Lonchura striata: one gene and its partner. The protein of the gene in region 2 interacts with the protein of the main gene of each other region in a pairwise test. Links are inferred from orthologs where the notes say so. Each region holds a gene or a part of one and is shown on either strand. Other genes may lie near its edges.

The links.
Region 1: the proteins of ZFYVE19 (region 2) and VPS4B interact in binary tests that used the Homo sapiens proteins (3 or more experiments, as listed by UniProt). The two-hybrid records come from large-scale screens. The link is inferred for Lonchura striata from reciprocal best matches to the Homo sapiens genes ZFYVE19 and VPS4B.

The regions. Positions count from the first base shown.
Region 1 is NC_134603.1:96,375,719-96,383,707, reverse strand, and holds the start of VPS4B (vacuolar protein sorting-associated protein 4B), read right to left. Parts: upstream 3,075-7,989; 5' UTR 2,954-3,074; coding exon 2,927-2,953; intron 298-2,926; coding exon 186-297; intron 1-185.
Region 2 is NC_134608.1:37,895,361-37,902,277, forward strand, and holds the start of ZFYVE19 (abscission/NoCut checkpoint regulator), read right to left. Parts: upstream 3,014-6,917; 5' UTR 2,907-3,013; coding exon 2,853-2,906; intron 2,326-2,852; coding exon 2,204-2,325; intron 1-2,203. UniProt on the Homo sapiens protein: Key regulator of abscission step in cytokinesis: part of the cytokinesis checkpoint, a process required to delay abscission to prevent both premature resolution of intercellular chromosome bridges and accumulation of DNA damage.

The sequences.
Region 1 (7,989 bases), on a different chromosome or scaffold from region 2:
ACGGAGCAAGCACACAACACAGTAAAGGTAAAAGCTGAAAAATATATGACCTCAGTCAAACTACAATTAGCAAGTATCAACTGTTGACGAGGGCAAAAATTTAAATACTGATGTCAACATAAGAGAATACTCTTGTGCAATCTGACGACTAAACTTTACTTAATCATCCAACACATCACACTTACATTTAACAACATGGATAAAATACTGCACGGCATGTTGGTACAAGCGGAAGGCTTCCTCATAGTTTCCTGCTTTATCTTCTTGTGCTGCCTTGCTAGCAAGGTCTATTGCTTTCTGTAACACAAACAAATAATTAATTGCTGTACAAGAGCATTTTCCATGATCAGAGACCATTTAAGCTGTTACTGTCATTTGACGGCCAGTTTTTCTGCTCCTCAACATTTATCCCCTCAGAGTTGAAGGCAATTGATTGTCATAGGTAGTGTTTTGTACAAAACACAATATTTCCATCCTTTTATGAACAGCATGATTTACAACCTGCTGAAATTTACTAGCACACAAAAAAGCACACGTGAGAAGAAGTTTCTGTGTACTAAGCTGGAACTACTACTACTACTATGCAGTCTGTCTTGCCAAACTCTTGCACTTATTATGAAAAAATCTGGAAATCCATTGTAAGGCTTGGGGTTTTTTTATTACAGACATAGAAACTTTGAACTATGATACAGATATGCTGTTTTAAGGCATGGTTCAGGGGTGCACTTGACAGCGCTGGGTTAATGGCTGGACTCAAATCTTTTCCAGCCTAAACAATTCTATGATCCTATGACTGATGACATCAGTAAACCCTGTAAACAGCAAAGTCAATACAGGAAGTAGCTGATTACAACCACTGAAACTAGCACTATCACTCTTCAAACATTATGCTGGGAGACATCTTCAAAGACCAGTTGCTTGGCTTCTCCAGGAGGATTCGGACTCTTGATATCTTAGTGAGAAATTCTAATTATCATTCCAGTGGGAGAGGAGAAAAAAAAGCTCAAAACAGACAGAGAACATACCCAAATCTCAAGCATCAAAGAGTTCTATGAGAAACTATGAATGGATTTTTACTTTATTTGTTCAGTTATTTTCAAGTAAATCTGACTGAGATCTAAGCACACACTGCCTTGTGGATTTATTGTATCACCACTATTCCGTTGCTCACTCCTAAGTGCTTATTACTTTTTATTACACTTTACTCCTTGGAATGACCATACCATTTCCAGACAATTAAAACTGTCATTTTGACCACTGGCTCATGTAAGTTGAAAATAAGCAGTCAGCCAGTTAACCAACACCAACTAAATAGTCTATAATCCTTCATCTATTTTTTCCCATGTGGTTCCCTTTCCTAAGCATTGCTCAGGATGATTATGTAACGCCAGGGAGCAATGTTGAGAGTTTGAGCTGCAGCAAGGAGTTTCCATTAGACATTCCAGTACAGATATTCTTGCCACTACCTACACTCTGCTGTTTCAGGCAGAACAAAGCTAGTAAACAATAGCCATGAAAAAAACAGCAAAATCTTGCATTCTATTGCTTTGTGTTGATGTCTTGGAAGCAAAGATCATCTCAACAGATCTACTTGACATTAAAGGTATTTAAAAGCAATGAACCAATTAAACAGACTATGGCTCTGTTGTGGCAAGTGCTGGAGCACTTTAACATCTGTTTCTTTGGAACAGAAGCTAAGTCTTTCCTTCTTGGAGAGGCTGGGAGCTCAAGAGCAGTTTCCCAGGTATGAATGGACAGCTACCTCCTTGCTGCCCATTTTATGCTGACTCCCTTACGCATATCTGTGCACCATTCAAATCTAGCAACAGAGCAAAAATTAACCCCCCAAAATGTTATTTTCATATTAAAGTTCTTAAGTCTCATTAGCGACTTTAATTACTATGGGATAGCCCAGTAATTCCTGGATTCAGTATAAGAAAGACAGGTGACATTAATTCCAAAGAATAAATGTCAAAGATCGTGTGCTAAAACAGAACGGTGAGAAAACAGGGCATGTCACAAACCTGTTGCTCTGAAATCGGCAAAAGTCTGCATCATGTACTGCCTGGTTTTGCTACACTCTCTTTTTGTAAACAGCCAAAGACTATTACCTGGCTATTAGATTCTCAGCTCTAATACTTCATTACATCAGCTGCACCTTAGCCTGTTACTGTGAAGAACATCACTGCTATCAAACAGAAAATCATTATTAGAAAGCTGTATGAACTAGGGCATAGATGACCAGTTCTAACTATGCCTAAGGCACAAACTACGTTTATCGGCCATGGGCTTATAGTTTGATGAACATCCCCCAAGGAAAGAATGTCAGTTTAAAGAGGTGTCATTCTTCTGCTTATTATAAATCCTGTAACATCTCCTCCAGCTTTGCCAATGCAAACATCACACTGCCAGTGTAAACACCGCATACAGAAACGATCACGGTTCAAACAGCCGAAGAGAAAAAGGGGCTCTTTGGAACGCAGTTATTTCACTTCGGGGTCTGTTTCGCCGGCCAGCCTCAGCACCGATCGCACCCCCGCAGCCGAGGGTTCACACAAGCGGAACAGCAGAGCAGGCAAGGGCTTCCTACAGCCACCAGGAGCCTTACGGCAACACAAGCCAAGCCACGCGTCCCGAGCACAAGAGGCAACAGCGCTTCCCGGGCGAGCACCAGGCCTCGCTGCCCGTGTCCCGCGGGGCTGGGACGCCCTCCCCGGGACGAGGAGGGCTGACCCCGTGGGCTCTGCCCCCCGAGCAGTCCCCCCACCGCGGTGCCCGCGGCCCGCTGAGCAGAGGCGTCCGCGCTCCCTGCGCCCCGGAACACTCCCGGCCCGGGAACCCCGGGCCCCGCTCCTTCCCGGCGCCGCCCCCCGCCGCCGCCGCCGGCCGGGCCCGCCCCGCGCGGGCAGGGCCGGCGCCGCTGTACCTGCAGGTTGCCGGTGTTGGCCGCCATGGCGGAGCGGCAGGGGAGGGCAGGGAGCGGGGGGAGAGTGGCGCGGGAGCGGGCCCGGCTGCCGGTGGCGCAGCGCCGCCGCCCCGCCGCCCGCGGAGCCCGAACCGCGGCCTCCGCCGCCGCTTCCGCCCCGAGCGCCGCTTCCGCTTCCGCCTCCGCTTCCGGGCACGCCCCGAGCGCCCGGCCCGCCCCGGCCGCGGCGCTGCCCGGGCCGCGCTCGCCCGCTGGGGCTTGGGCTTGGAACGCGGCTCTTGGAGCCTCCTGTGCAATCCCGCTGGGATCTCTCCACAGGAGAGCCCACGGCCTCCCTGGGCAGCCGGTCCCAGGGCTCGGCCACCCTCAACGTGAGGTTCTTCCTCATGTTGGGGTGCGGCTAACCGTGCTTTAGTTCGTGGCCGCTGCTCCCCGTCCTGTCGCTGGGCACCACCAAAAAGAGTCTGGCACCGTCCTCTTGGCACCTGCCTTGGGGATATTTATATGCATTAAATAAGATCTCCTCTCAGTCCTCTTTTCTCCGGATTAAACAGGCCCAATCCTGTCTAATCAAGCATGACAGTGTCATGGGCAAGTGTCACTCGCCCGTGGGTTCGTGACAAAGATCAGTTGACGTGCGATGCTTATAGAGTGGGGAGGAGGAAGTGACTCAACACGCAAGCAATTACGAACCAGTTCTGGAAAGCCAACTTGCTGTATGGATGCAGGGATATCTGCTAAATAAGTGCCATATCTTTCCCTCTGGTACATTAATTTCTTCAGGGCAAAAAAAGTATCTGGCAAACTCAACTGCAATAAAACCCGTTCTTCCAAATACCTTCAAGTTATCACAGTGCAGCTTTAACTTAATAATTCCAATGTAACTTTTTTGATTTTATTTTGTAATAAAAGGTCTCTGAACCTTTTTGATATAGTCAAGTAGGCTGTATACTCTGGGCATACAAGGGAAAAAGGCACATTCACAGTTCCCCCTGTACCAGGGAAGGTCGTGGTGAATCTCTTCACTATGTTGTCTGGCTGGCAGTTTATTTTGGTAAGTGTCCTCACGAGTTGAGGATGCTTTGGTTGATTTTTAGATGTTGTCAATAACAGCTGTTCTCCTTGGATTGACTGCAAATGTGTAAAGACATGATGTAGGAAAGACTAGGTCATGTAATCAGGCTTTGGGAAATGAAATGGTAAAGAGGGTTTGCTACTAAAGACAACTGAAATTGGTCAAATTAGAAGGAGAGATGATGATTTCTAAAGGAACCTTACAGCTGTGTGGTCATCAGGATTCAAGCATAGCATCAGTGGTGGGAGGGGCTCAAGGGTTAAATATTGTATACCCATTTCTTTCTTATTCCATCTTCAAAGGATGAGGCGAAACCATTCCTTTCACTCTTTCATGGTTGATTATGCCATAATGAAGCCTTTGGGCTATTTTTAACCTTCTTTTTATTTAAAACAAGCTACTTCCTTGAGTATCATTTCCTTTTTGGCTTTACCTTCTCATTCTGGTTGGTGTAACAGAGTATTTTCAGATATGTTCCTGATGCTAGTAATTCTGTGTCATCTGTACCTATGATTTTTAATTCTTTGATGTTATATTTAGGTTTTAGACTGAGGTCTAAAACAATACGTACCTCACAAGAGTGTAAGTATGCCTCTCCTGCCACACTGAACTGGCTTCCAGAAAAAATGACTGGTTTCTGCAAATGTGATTAAAGAAAGTAAATCAGGAAAGGCACCTCTGTAATTTACAGATAACAGGCTAAACTTTGCAGCCCTTACTTAAGTCTTACTCATACAATATTCCTGCTATGATTTGACTTTGCAGCTAGTTTTGCCTGAGGAAAGACTAGATGAATGCTGAGTAATGACATCAAGATTATTTCTTGAGAAGCTAATGAAGTGTCATGTTAAGGGCATTACTTCCATTTGAGGAACAACTACAGCCGCATTATCTAATACTTCCCAGTGCTGAAGTTCCTTTGTTACTATATTCTAAGAATGACAAGTGTAATGAAAATAAAGCATATTAAAGGTGTTAATATGGGTACCTACTGGGCTCAACTAAGTCCATCCCATAACTACCTGGGGCATTATTGCTCACATTGCTATGGCATTACGTGGCACAGGTACTGATGATCTGTGTTTCCTAAGGCTGAGTAAGCTGTTGTGGAGAATGCTTCCTGCTGCCATGCCTTGGATTGGAGGGAAGGGGCCTACACTTCACCTTGCCTGGTCACCTTGGGCCAAGAGTAAGTAGATGGATGCATCAACTAGATAGATCATGTGTCTGCAGCACAACCAGGTGTCGTATCTATGATTCTCCTCCGCCGTGGCAGCTGAGGAGTGGCTAGAGATGACTAATGTTACCATCAGAGTGAGATTGGCATCAGCTAAATGACGTGAGAGCCATGCAGGTAAGGGAAGTCACTGCCTCAGAGACCTTTACAGTGCAGACAGACAAGGCAGAGAAGGCAGGAAAATATAGCCTTGTTTTCCTGTATTTCTTTACCAGATGAAATGATGATGAATCTGGTCAGATCAATCTGACCTAGGTAACAAAGGCTGTCAGTAGCAACACTAAGAAGTAAAATTCAGATTGTCCAAATTCCATTGTGGCACCTCGATCCTGTTTGGTGTACACATAATGAGCTCATGCACTTGGGACAGGACCTGCAGTGCACTCGTGGTGCAGCTGGGTCCCTTCTTTGAACCATGCTGGGCTGAAAAGCAGGAGCACTTCAAGCCACCAGCTGTGTTGGGGAACCTTTCTACCTGTTACGTAGTGCCTGGCCTGTGGGAGTCCTGCTGGGAGAATTGCAGGTGGATGGCTGCCATACATAACCCCTTTAATAGCACTGAAACCACAGCAGCCTTATGGAGGAGAGCTGTATCCTAAGAGCTCTTATTCCTAAAGCACTTGGTGCTTTGTGTGCAGAGAAGGTGTTGTGCAGCTATAGAGCTTAGGAGGGAAAGAATTAAAGCTGTGTTCAGGACCAGAAAGACTGACAACAAAATAAAGCCGTGTTACATTTATGGCATTAGAGACAAGAATGAGCTTTGGGGCAAAACTTGAAGCACTGGGTTTTGAGGAGTTCATGGTCATCCAACTCTGCCCCATCTCATGGGTCTGAGGTGGATGGTGACAATATTTCCTGCCATAGTACAGTAATGGGTGTGGCTGTGCCTACCTGGAAAAGAAAACTTAAATTTGTCACTTTTGAGCTAAACTCTTCATATTTTTTAGTTATGTTAATTTTCACTCTACTTCTATATACAAAATGTGTTGTCTTCTGGACTAAATTAGTTTATTCCAGCCAATGGAATGACTTAGGATGCATATTCCTGTAGTTCATAGTGAGATTAATCCAGCACAACATGAAAATAGCCTAAGAAAATGATTGCAGGTATAACTCAGGGCACATTTTGAAAACTGTTCATTTGATCTTTTGACAGAGTATAGAAATAGAAATGTGCTTATTTTCTTAAGTTGTGAAATATACAATCCACTTCTACTACTATGTTTTTTGAATGACATTTAGCATAGTGAATTTCAGGACTTTTTTCCTTACTGTTACGTGAGTACCAGCAGAAATTGTCATGAATAAAAATGAAATCTGAAACAGTATTTTTCTTAACTTCACATGTGTTATCTTCAAGGGCAATATTTGCCCTCTATGAGCATAAGGTTGGAGATTTCTGAGGTTTTTCTCATCTTGAACTCAGCGGATGGGGACACTCGTGGGCATTCTCTGTAGAGACCAAGGGCAAACAATTCACCTAAGTCTTTTCTGCATAGCATTTCATTTGTTAGGTCTTGATAACTTGTTGAAATTGAATGGAATAAAATCTCTTCAATTATGGTTTTTGTACAGTTGAGCAGACACGGCCTCAGGGATGTATCGGTTGACTCATTTTCATTTAAAATACACAATTTTGCCAGCTGGAAACTACCAGCCCTTTTAGACATATATGAGTTCAGGGATTTTGTGCTATGCATTGTTGAGTTTGGTGTAGCAGCATTTCTTTTTGAAACGTTTTCATAGTCACAGGACTTAACAGTCTTATATAGCCCTATTCACTTCAAGAGATTTTATTGTTAAAAGTTTAAAAAGTGCTCCCCAGCCAATGCTTCTTTGAGTTTAGAATGTTCGAGTTTGGACTGTGCGCTTCAGATTGCTTCATACTGCCTTCATTTAAAATTTTGATGACCTGTGGAATTATTGGAACAACTCCTAAGGATATTCTAGATGCTCTCATCAACTGGGGGTCTGTTTTGATCACTGCCAGATTTTTCAAAAATATATGGTCTAACCCAAAGAAAAATCATGAGTCTCATAAAATTGGTAGATCAGGTTCTACAATCTGTGTTATGAAAGGGTTCAAGCCAGCTGGTTGTCACAGCATGTGTCTCACTGTCTTAAAAAAGTCACAAATCTGTGAGTTGACCCAGATTTTCTTTCCATGAATCTCCTATGCAATAGAAAGTCTGTAGTGTTTACTGTTGCCAGAGTACCAGAAATCTGAATTGTATTAGGCAGGGAGAAGCATAAAAGCAGTTCTGCTCCAGTAGGTGCTTTTAAAAGTATTACCAGACTCCTCTAAACACATGACAGGGGAATAACTTTTGCCATTCCAATATACAGCAGAATAACTGAACTTGGCTGTTGCAAAACAAGGGATTCATCTGCATGAATAAGTTTTAAGGTTGATGAGCTGCCTCTGATGCTTCCAGGCTTACTTTTCATGCTACATTCAGAGTGGCTTTTGCCTGTATGACTGTAGAGAGCAGTGTTTCCAACAAAACTGAATGGCTTGTGGTCTGAATGATTAAAGTGATAAAGGGAAAGAGAGCTGGTCTGGGACTAGACTAGCTGTGAGCTACACTAGCAGTGTAGTCTGCACTAGATTTCTGGGCTAGAATTTCCTTACTGGATCCCTGTTTATTAACCCCTAAGCCTTTTAATTAGGTATGGAAAGGAGGAAAAACTGGATAGAGAGGTCATTTAATTTTCTCTTGATCCAAGCCACTCTTAGCAGAATAATTTTCA
Region 2 (6,917 bases):
CATACAAATAAAACAAAGTGTTACAAAAGTTCTTATATAACATCTTACAAAACACTAAAACACTACACACCTAAAACATGTCTAACTCTTCTACTTTGCTGTGTTCAGGCTGAGGGATCGAACTAGACACTTATGTAAGTTAGTTAGAATATTTTATTCATTCTTAGAAATCACAGCTAAGGCCCATATAGTAATGACTGAATGCAACATTGCTGGAATACTTTCCAACATTCTAAGGCTTCAATTCTGAAAGCTATTTGCATGAAGAACAACAACATATGCAGCTTACAGAACTGCAGCCTGTGTGTATTACCTACAGGACAGGATGCCACCCAGAGGGACCTGGACAAGCTCAAGAAGTGGGCCCTTGTCTCATGAGGTTAAATGAGACAAAGTGCAAGGTGCTGCACTTAGATTGGAGCAACTCCTGGTACCAGCACAGGCTGGGGGATGAGCAGATCAAGAGCAGCCCTGCCACAAAGGACTTGGGAGTGCTGTGAATAGGAGGCTGGATGTGACCCAGCAATGTGTGCCCACAGCCCAGAGAGCCAGCTGTGTCCTGGGCTGTACCCAGAGCAGCATGGCCAGCAGGGCAAGGGAGGGGATTCTACCCATCTCTTCCTCTCTCATGGGACCTCACCAGCAGTGCTGCATTCAGCTCTGGGGTCCCCAGCTCAGGGCAGACATGGACTTGTTGGAGTCTGTCCAGTGGAGGCCGCCAAATTGATTATAAGGATGAAGCACATCTATGAGGAAAGGCTGACAGAATTGGGATTATTCAGCCTGGAAAAGAGACAGCTCCAGGGTGACCTAACTGCAGCCTCCAGTACCTGAAGGGAACTTCCACAAAAGATGGAGAAGGACTTTTTATGAAGAGCATGTAGTGACAGGACACAGAGGAATGGTTTTAAACTGAAAGAGCACAGCTTTAGATTAGCTACTATAAAAAAATTCTTTACTTGGAGAGTGGTAAAACACTGGAACAGGTTCCCCAGAGAAGCTGTGGATGACCCATCCCTGGAGTGTTCAAGGTCAGGTGGGATGGAGCTCTTAGCAACCTGGTCTAGTGGAAGGTGTCCTGCCCACAGCACAGGGGCTGGAAATAGATGATTTTTAAGGTTTCTTCCAGCTCAGACAGTTCTATGATTCTATAATCTACCTGCTATCCAGTCAGAGAAGATTGTTTTTCTGCTATAGCTCTCTAGTGCTGATATTAAAGTTATGAGAAAAAAACACCAAGAGGAAACATCAAGACAGGCAGCCCTGTTTTCTTAATGGCTTTGAAGTTATGAAGGGAAATCAGAAAATTGTGAAACTGAAAAGATTGAATACTGTCCTTCACTGTTTTCAGCAGCCCATGAAGATGAAGACCTTCACTAATGAGGCTCTTCTCCTTTAGACAACTGCAGAACCAGAAAATTCCCCCCTTGCTGGTGAAAATTTCTTGCTATAGGAGAAAAGTGAGGAAAAGGAACAAGAGAAATGCAAGAGAAAAAGGAGGACACAGAAGAATTGGTTGACAGAGGAATTCTGGTATACACCTGTGTTCTTGTGTTGCTTGTTCAAGTGTATAATCCTGCTGCTACTGAATTACATGTTTTGTTTTCGACAGGAAGTCTACTGGTTATGCAAATAATTTTTTGCAAAAAACTTATTTTGCAAATAATGGTTTGCAAATAATTTTTAAAGTTTCCTTTTAGAAGCAAAAATTTTATAGCTTTTAGGCTACAAAACTTTATGTCTTCAGGCCACACAAAACAGAGATCCCTCAACAAGAAGGACTTATGTCATAGTTTGCCCACAGAATTAATAACACTTTGAACATCTTATTGTCAGGCTACTCAACTATACACATCTGAGAAGACTGCCAGAACTGGGCAAAAACACACTGTGGCTTAACCTCAGCCCATCTAGTTAAACTGTCCACAGGAATTCAGTGTCCATCCATGAAGATTTAAACCTGATGCTTTCAAACTACTTTGTCAACCATAGAACAGGAACAAATCCTGCTTCCTATTTTATGACTGCACAGCTCATATAATAACAAGTTCAGAGATGTCCTGTCTTAAAGTTCCAGGGTACAGGCAGCATCCATGAACATATGGAAAGCAGAGCTCTCCTGCAGAAATCTGCAACATCACATGGAATGTAAACTGAAGGAAAAAAGCAGCAAACTGTCTCTGGGTGAACACTCCCATCTTACCCAGTTAGTTTTCCATAGCACTGCTTGCACACCTTCTGCTGAGTGTTCCCACAGCGGGGAACAACAGCACTGAAGCTCCGGCAGGCCGAGCAGAAGGAGCGTCCGCAGCTCTTGCAGCCACACTGCAGAGACAGGAGAGAGGGGCACCACAGGGCTTCAGCACCTCGCCACCACACTGGTGCCGCCGGCGGGCACAGTGCCCGTGCCGAGGCACACACAAAATAGTGCTGGGGTTATGCTGATTTTCATGTGATAGAACTGTTTCACCAGCTGCTGCTGAAGATATGGAGACTCAAGAACCTTGGAGCACCAGCAGATAACTCCTGCTGGGAGCAGAGTCACCACTTCACCCTATAGTATAGCAAAGTGTGTGTGTGTGAATTGTCTGAGATCATGCCAGAATCCTGGGTGAGAGGGACGGCATTCAATGACTTTTTGGTTTTTTGGTCAGTAATGTCTCATATCTGAAGACATATCGGAATTAGTCACACGAGAGCTCAGTACCCAGGGCAACATCGCCGGGAAGCTGGCCGGGAAGCGTGTCTCGGCGCCGGGCGAAGCAGTCCCCGGTTCCCTTCTCAGACCCTCGCCCGGCGGGGGAGGAACCCGCGGGACCGGCCCGTTCCTGACCCCCCGCAGCCGGACTTGCCTCTTTCTTGAAGACAGAGAACTTGGACGCACACCCATAGCACCGGCTATCCATGGCGCTACCGCCCCAGCCCGCCCTCAGGCACGGCGCTGCACCCCCGCTATCCCAAGCTCCATGGTCTCTCCGGGGCTGCGGCTGCCTCAGGCCCAAGGATCGGTGGCGAGCGGGGATGCCACAAGCCAGGAGCCGGGGACGCCACCCTCCCGTCCACACAACACAGAGCTGGCGACGCACGGCCCTACGGGAGTTGTAGTCCCTTGCTTCTCCCTTCCCGCCTTCAGATGCTAGGTGGCTCTCCACAAATAAACTACACTACCCAGAGCTCCACACGATCCCAGTGCCTGGCCGGCTCGGCTACCATCGCCGCGCGATGCATTGTGGTACATGCAGTCTGGTGCCCCTGCCCACCATGGCCCAGGGGGCATTAGCTGTTCTTGGGTGTTAATAAAACAAGAAAGTGTATTCTCTAAGGCTGACAGTGTTGCGCTCAAGCTGCTCTGTGATTTTTTTGTTTTTCGTCCTAAACCTTTGGTGAGATCCTGGCTCAGAATAGCAAAAATCAGCTGAACTGCAAAATTCAAGTTATCTCCAGCCCATCCTTCTGCCAGTGTTGATCCGCCTGCCCTCAGGAGTTAAATGTCTTGCAGTGTTTGCAGAAAGAGTCACGGAGTGCAAATGAGTCATCCTGTTAACCGCGTGGGTTTGCAGGTACATTGTGCATTCTTTCCAGTTTAATATATAACCCCACGTTGTAAAGACATACACAATTAAATTAGGAAATGGACTGATTTATTCAAGGAAGTAAAACTCATTAATATCTGAATAAAGCTAAGTTTAAAGGGGGAAAATAGAGGGTTCTCTCTCACTCTTTCAATTTTGGCATTTGTTTGCCACAATTTTTTTGGGTTTTTTGTTTGGTTAGGTTTTTTAATGGTAAAAAACATTAGAAAGACAAGTGGAAGCTAAACTTCGTACCTGTCCAGCAATTGTGTTAGACACCACACGGGCATTCCAGGTATTGTAGGCATAAAGCAGGGACTTGAGACAAATATTAACTCAAATAAAAAGCTTCATTGTCTTTGCTATTGAGCTGCTCAATGGGAAAACAGGAACAGGAGACTTCAATCTTGATGTTACAGTGCAACCTACCGACTTGCAGGTGCAATTTGGCGTGCAGCTCTCGTAGAGAAAATACATCTCCGTGCCAGCGCGCCGCGGAGACGCCGCTCTCTCACCCGGCTGCAGAAGCTGCGCTACACGCTCCCGTGCCCGTGCCCGCTCCCGTGCCCGTGCCCGTTCCCATTCCCGTGCCCGTGCCCGTTCCCATTCCCGTTCCCGTTCCCGTTCCCGTTCCCGTTCCCGTTGCCGTTGCCGTTCCCTCTCCCGTGCCCGTGCCCGCTCCCGTGCCCGTGCCCGTGCCCGTGCCCGTTCCCGTGCCCGTGCCCGTTCCCATTCCCGTGCCCGTTGCCGTTGCCGTTGCCGTTCCCTCTCCCGTGCCCGCTCCCGTTCCCGCTCCCGTGCCCGTTCCCGCTCCCGTGCCCGTTCCCATTCCCGTGCCCGTTCCCATTCCCGTGCCCGTTCCCGCTCCCGTGCCCGTTCCCGTCCCCGTTCCCGCTCCCGGCCGGTGTCCGCCAGAGGGGGCCCGGTCCCCGCCGTTCTCCGGCTGCCGAGCCGAAAGCCAGTTGGCAGCAGAGCAGCAGCAGAGCAGCAGCAGCTTTCCTTTAATTTCTGTTTTTTGACCGCGGATGTTTCCCTTGGTAAAGCGAACTCGGTTATAAAATCCTATGTGCCTACTTAGCCTATGAGGTTTTCAATTCTATTTGAAGTGCAGGAGAGATTAAATGGGGTTTGGATTGTGTGTCTTCTTGCCAAACTCAGTTTTGCACAGTAAATTTTACATTCTCTGTACTACATAGTTATAGCTACTCTGCTCTGGGCAGCTTCCACCTGGAGTCCTTCATCCGGTCTGGAGTCCTCAGCACAGAAAAGACAAGGACCTGTTGGAGCATATCCAGAAGAGGACCACAAAGATGATTAGGAAGCTGGATCACCTTTCCTATGAGGACATGCTGAGGGAGTCAGGTCGAGTTGAGTCAAGAGATGAGAGGGCTCTGGGGAGACCTTATTGCAGCCTTTCATACGTATAGGGGGCTTATATGAGATGGGAATAAGAATTTTAGCAGGGCCTGTTGTGACAGGACAAGGGACAATGGTTTTGAACTAAAGTAGGGTTGATTTAGACTAGCTATAAGGAAAAAGTTTTTATGTGTGGGTGGTGAGACACTGCAACAGGTTGCCCAGGGAGGTGGTGGATGCCCCATCTCTGGAAACATTCAAGGTCAGGTGGGATGGGGCTCTGAGCAACTTGGTCTAGTTGAAGATGATTGCTTATTGCAGGGATTTGGACTAGGTGACCTTTTCATGTCCCTTTCAACCCAAACTATTCTATTATTCAATAACCAGGGTTGTAGTCATGCAAGCAAGTGTCATCTCAACCACAGTTATTTGTTTATGTAAGGGAAATGTATTTTAAATTAAAAACAAAAATAGACCTATGAGTTGTACATTTTTGTGTGCTTCTGTAATGCTTTATTCCAGGCTGTTTTTCTCCTGCAGCAATAATTGACAAATCTCTATTCTGGTTCTTACAGCCTACAAAAGCATAGCACTCAAAGGCTCTGATTCGCCTCCCAGGCAGGAACCAGGACAGTCTCAAAGCAGGTAAAAAATGAATACATGGACACAAACACTCTTACTTCTTCCACACACACAGGCCTATGGAAGTGCTTCTCTCTTTAGAAACATCTGGTTTTGTATGCAATTAAGGTAATACCTGTTTGTGTCATGAGTTATGTACATCTCTGGGAATGTATATATTCCTCACTGCTAGATTCCTCTGTGTTTTATGGTTAAATACTTACATTTTAGATTTAAATAGTGTGTTAAGTGACTGCTGAACTTTAATATTAGAACTTCTGAAAATCCTCCTATTGTACTATTTGAGTCCTAAACTTTTGACTATACTGTCCCTTGTGTCTACTAGCTGATTACTCTTCCTTCATATAGTTCAGAATATGAGTGTATTTATACATGGGCAATGTTCTACTTAAAACCATATTTCTAGTGCAAGACCAGTATTCCTGTATGTGGTATATTGCTTTTGCTCTTTTACCAAGTATGAGTAAACATCTAAAACATTGCACATCTGAAGAGCTCCACATCAGATTGAGGGGAGGCAATCTAAAGTAATACTCAAGTACAAAGCTGTTCAGCACTGTCTGTTTAAAACAGGGACCCGTTCAACTTTGTTATATAATGAGAGTTGTCATGGGGTTGTTACTTTTGCACCTCCATCAAAGTCCTCAGATTCAAGGAGAAGAATTAGCATTTTTGCAGTCTGAAGCTGAGCTTAAAAATAGAAGTAGATTTTAATTTTCTGACATACTGATGAAATGGTTACATTCTCCAAAATTATGCCAATCTAAATTGTGAGCCAAATTAAATGAAGGAATGCTTTTTATAGCCGGAAGATTTGAGCTTTTAAGAAATACAAATATTTGTTGCCTGCTGTGCTTGCACTTTCCCACCATGATGCAAGAAAGCTCTAAACCCTGACATCCACAACTTATCAATTATCATTCTTCTGTGGGTGAAAATTAACCAGTGCCTAAAAAGCAAAACATTACAGATCTTAAACCCATCCCCCCTGCTGCTACAAAGTCATCATAATTAAAAATTGTTTTGGTTGCACCAGGAAAGCAAATTGGCAATTTCTATGTGCTCTTCTTCGCGAAGACATAATTTCAGCAAAATATTTTATTATTCATTATGGGTTTTCATCTCCCAGTTTGGCATTAGTATTTAATTCTGAATACATCAAGTCAAGGCAAAGTGTTAGGTGTTTACAATGGTAATTTCTTTCTCCACTCCAGCTATCTCTTTAGAGGAGGAGGATTTCTCTCTACAGACAAGGTACTTCACACCTAAAATGCTCACCAAAGAGAACATTCAATGGTCTTTGCATTAGGTCTTCAGTCCTCAACACATTTTTAAAAACTATTTTGG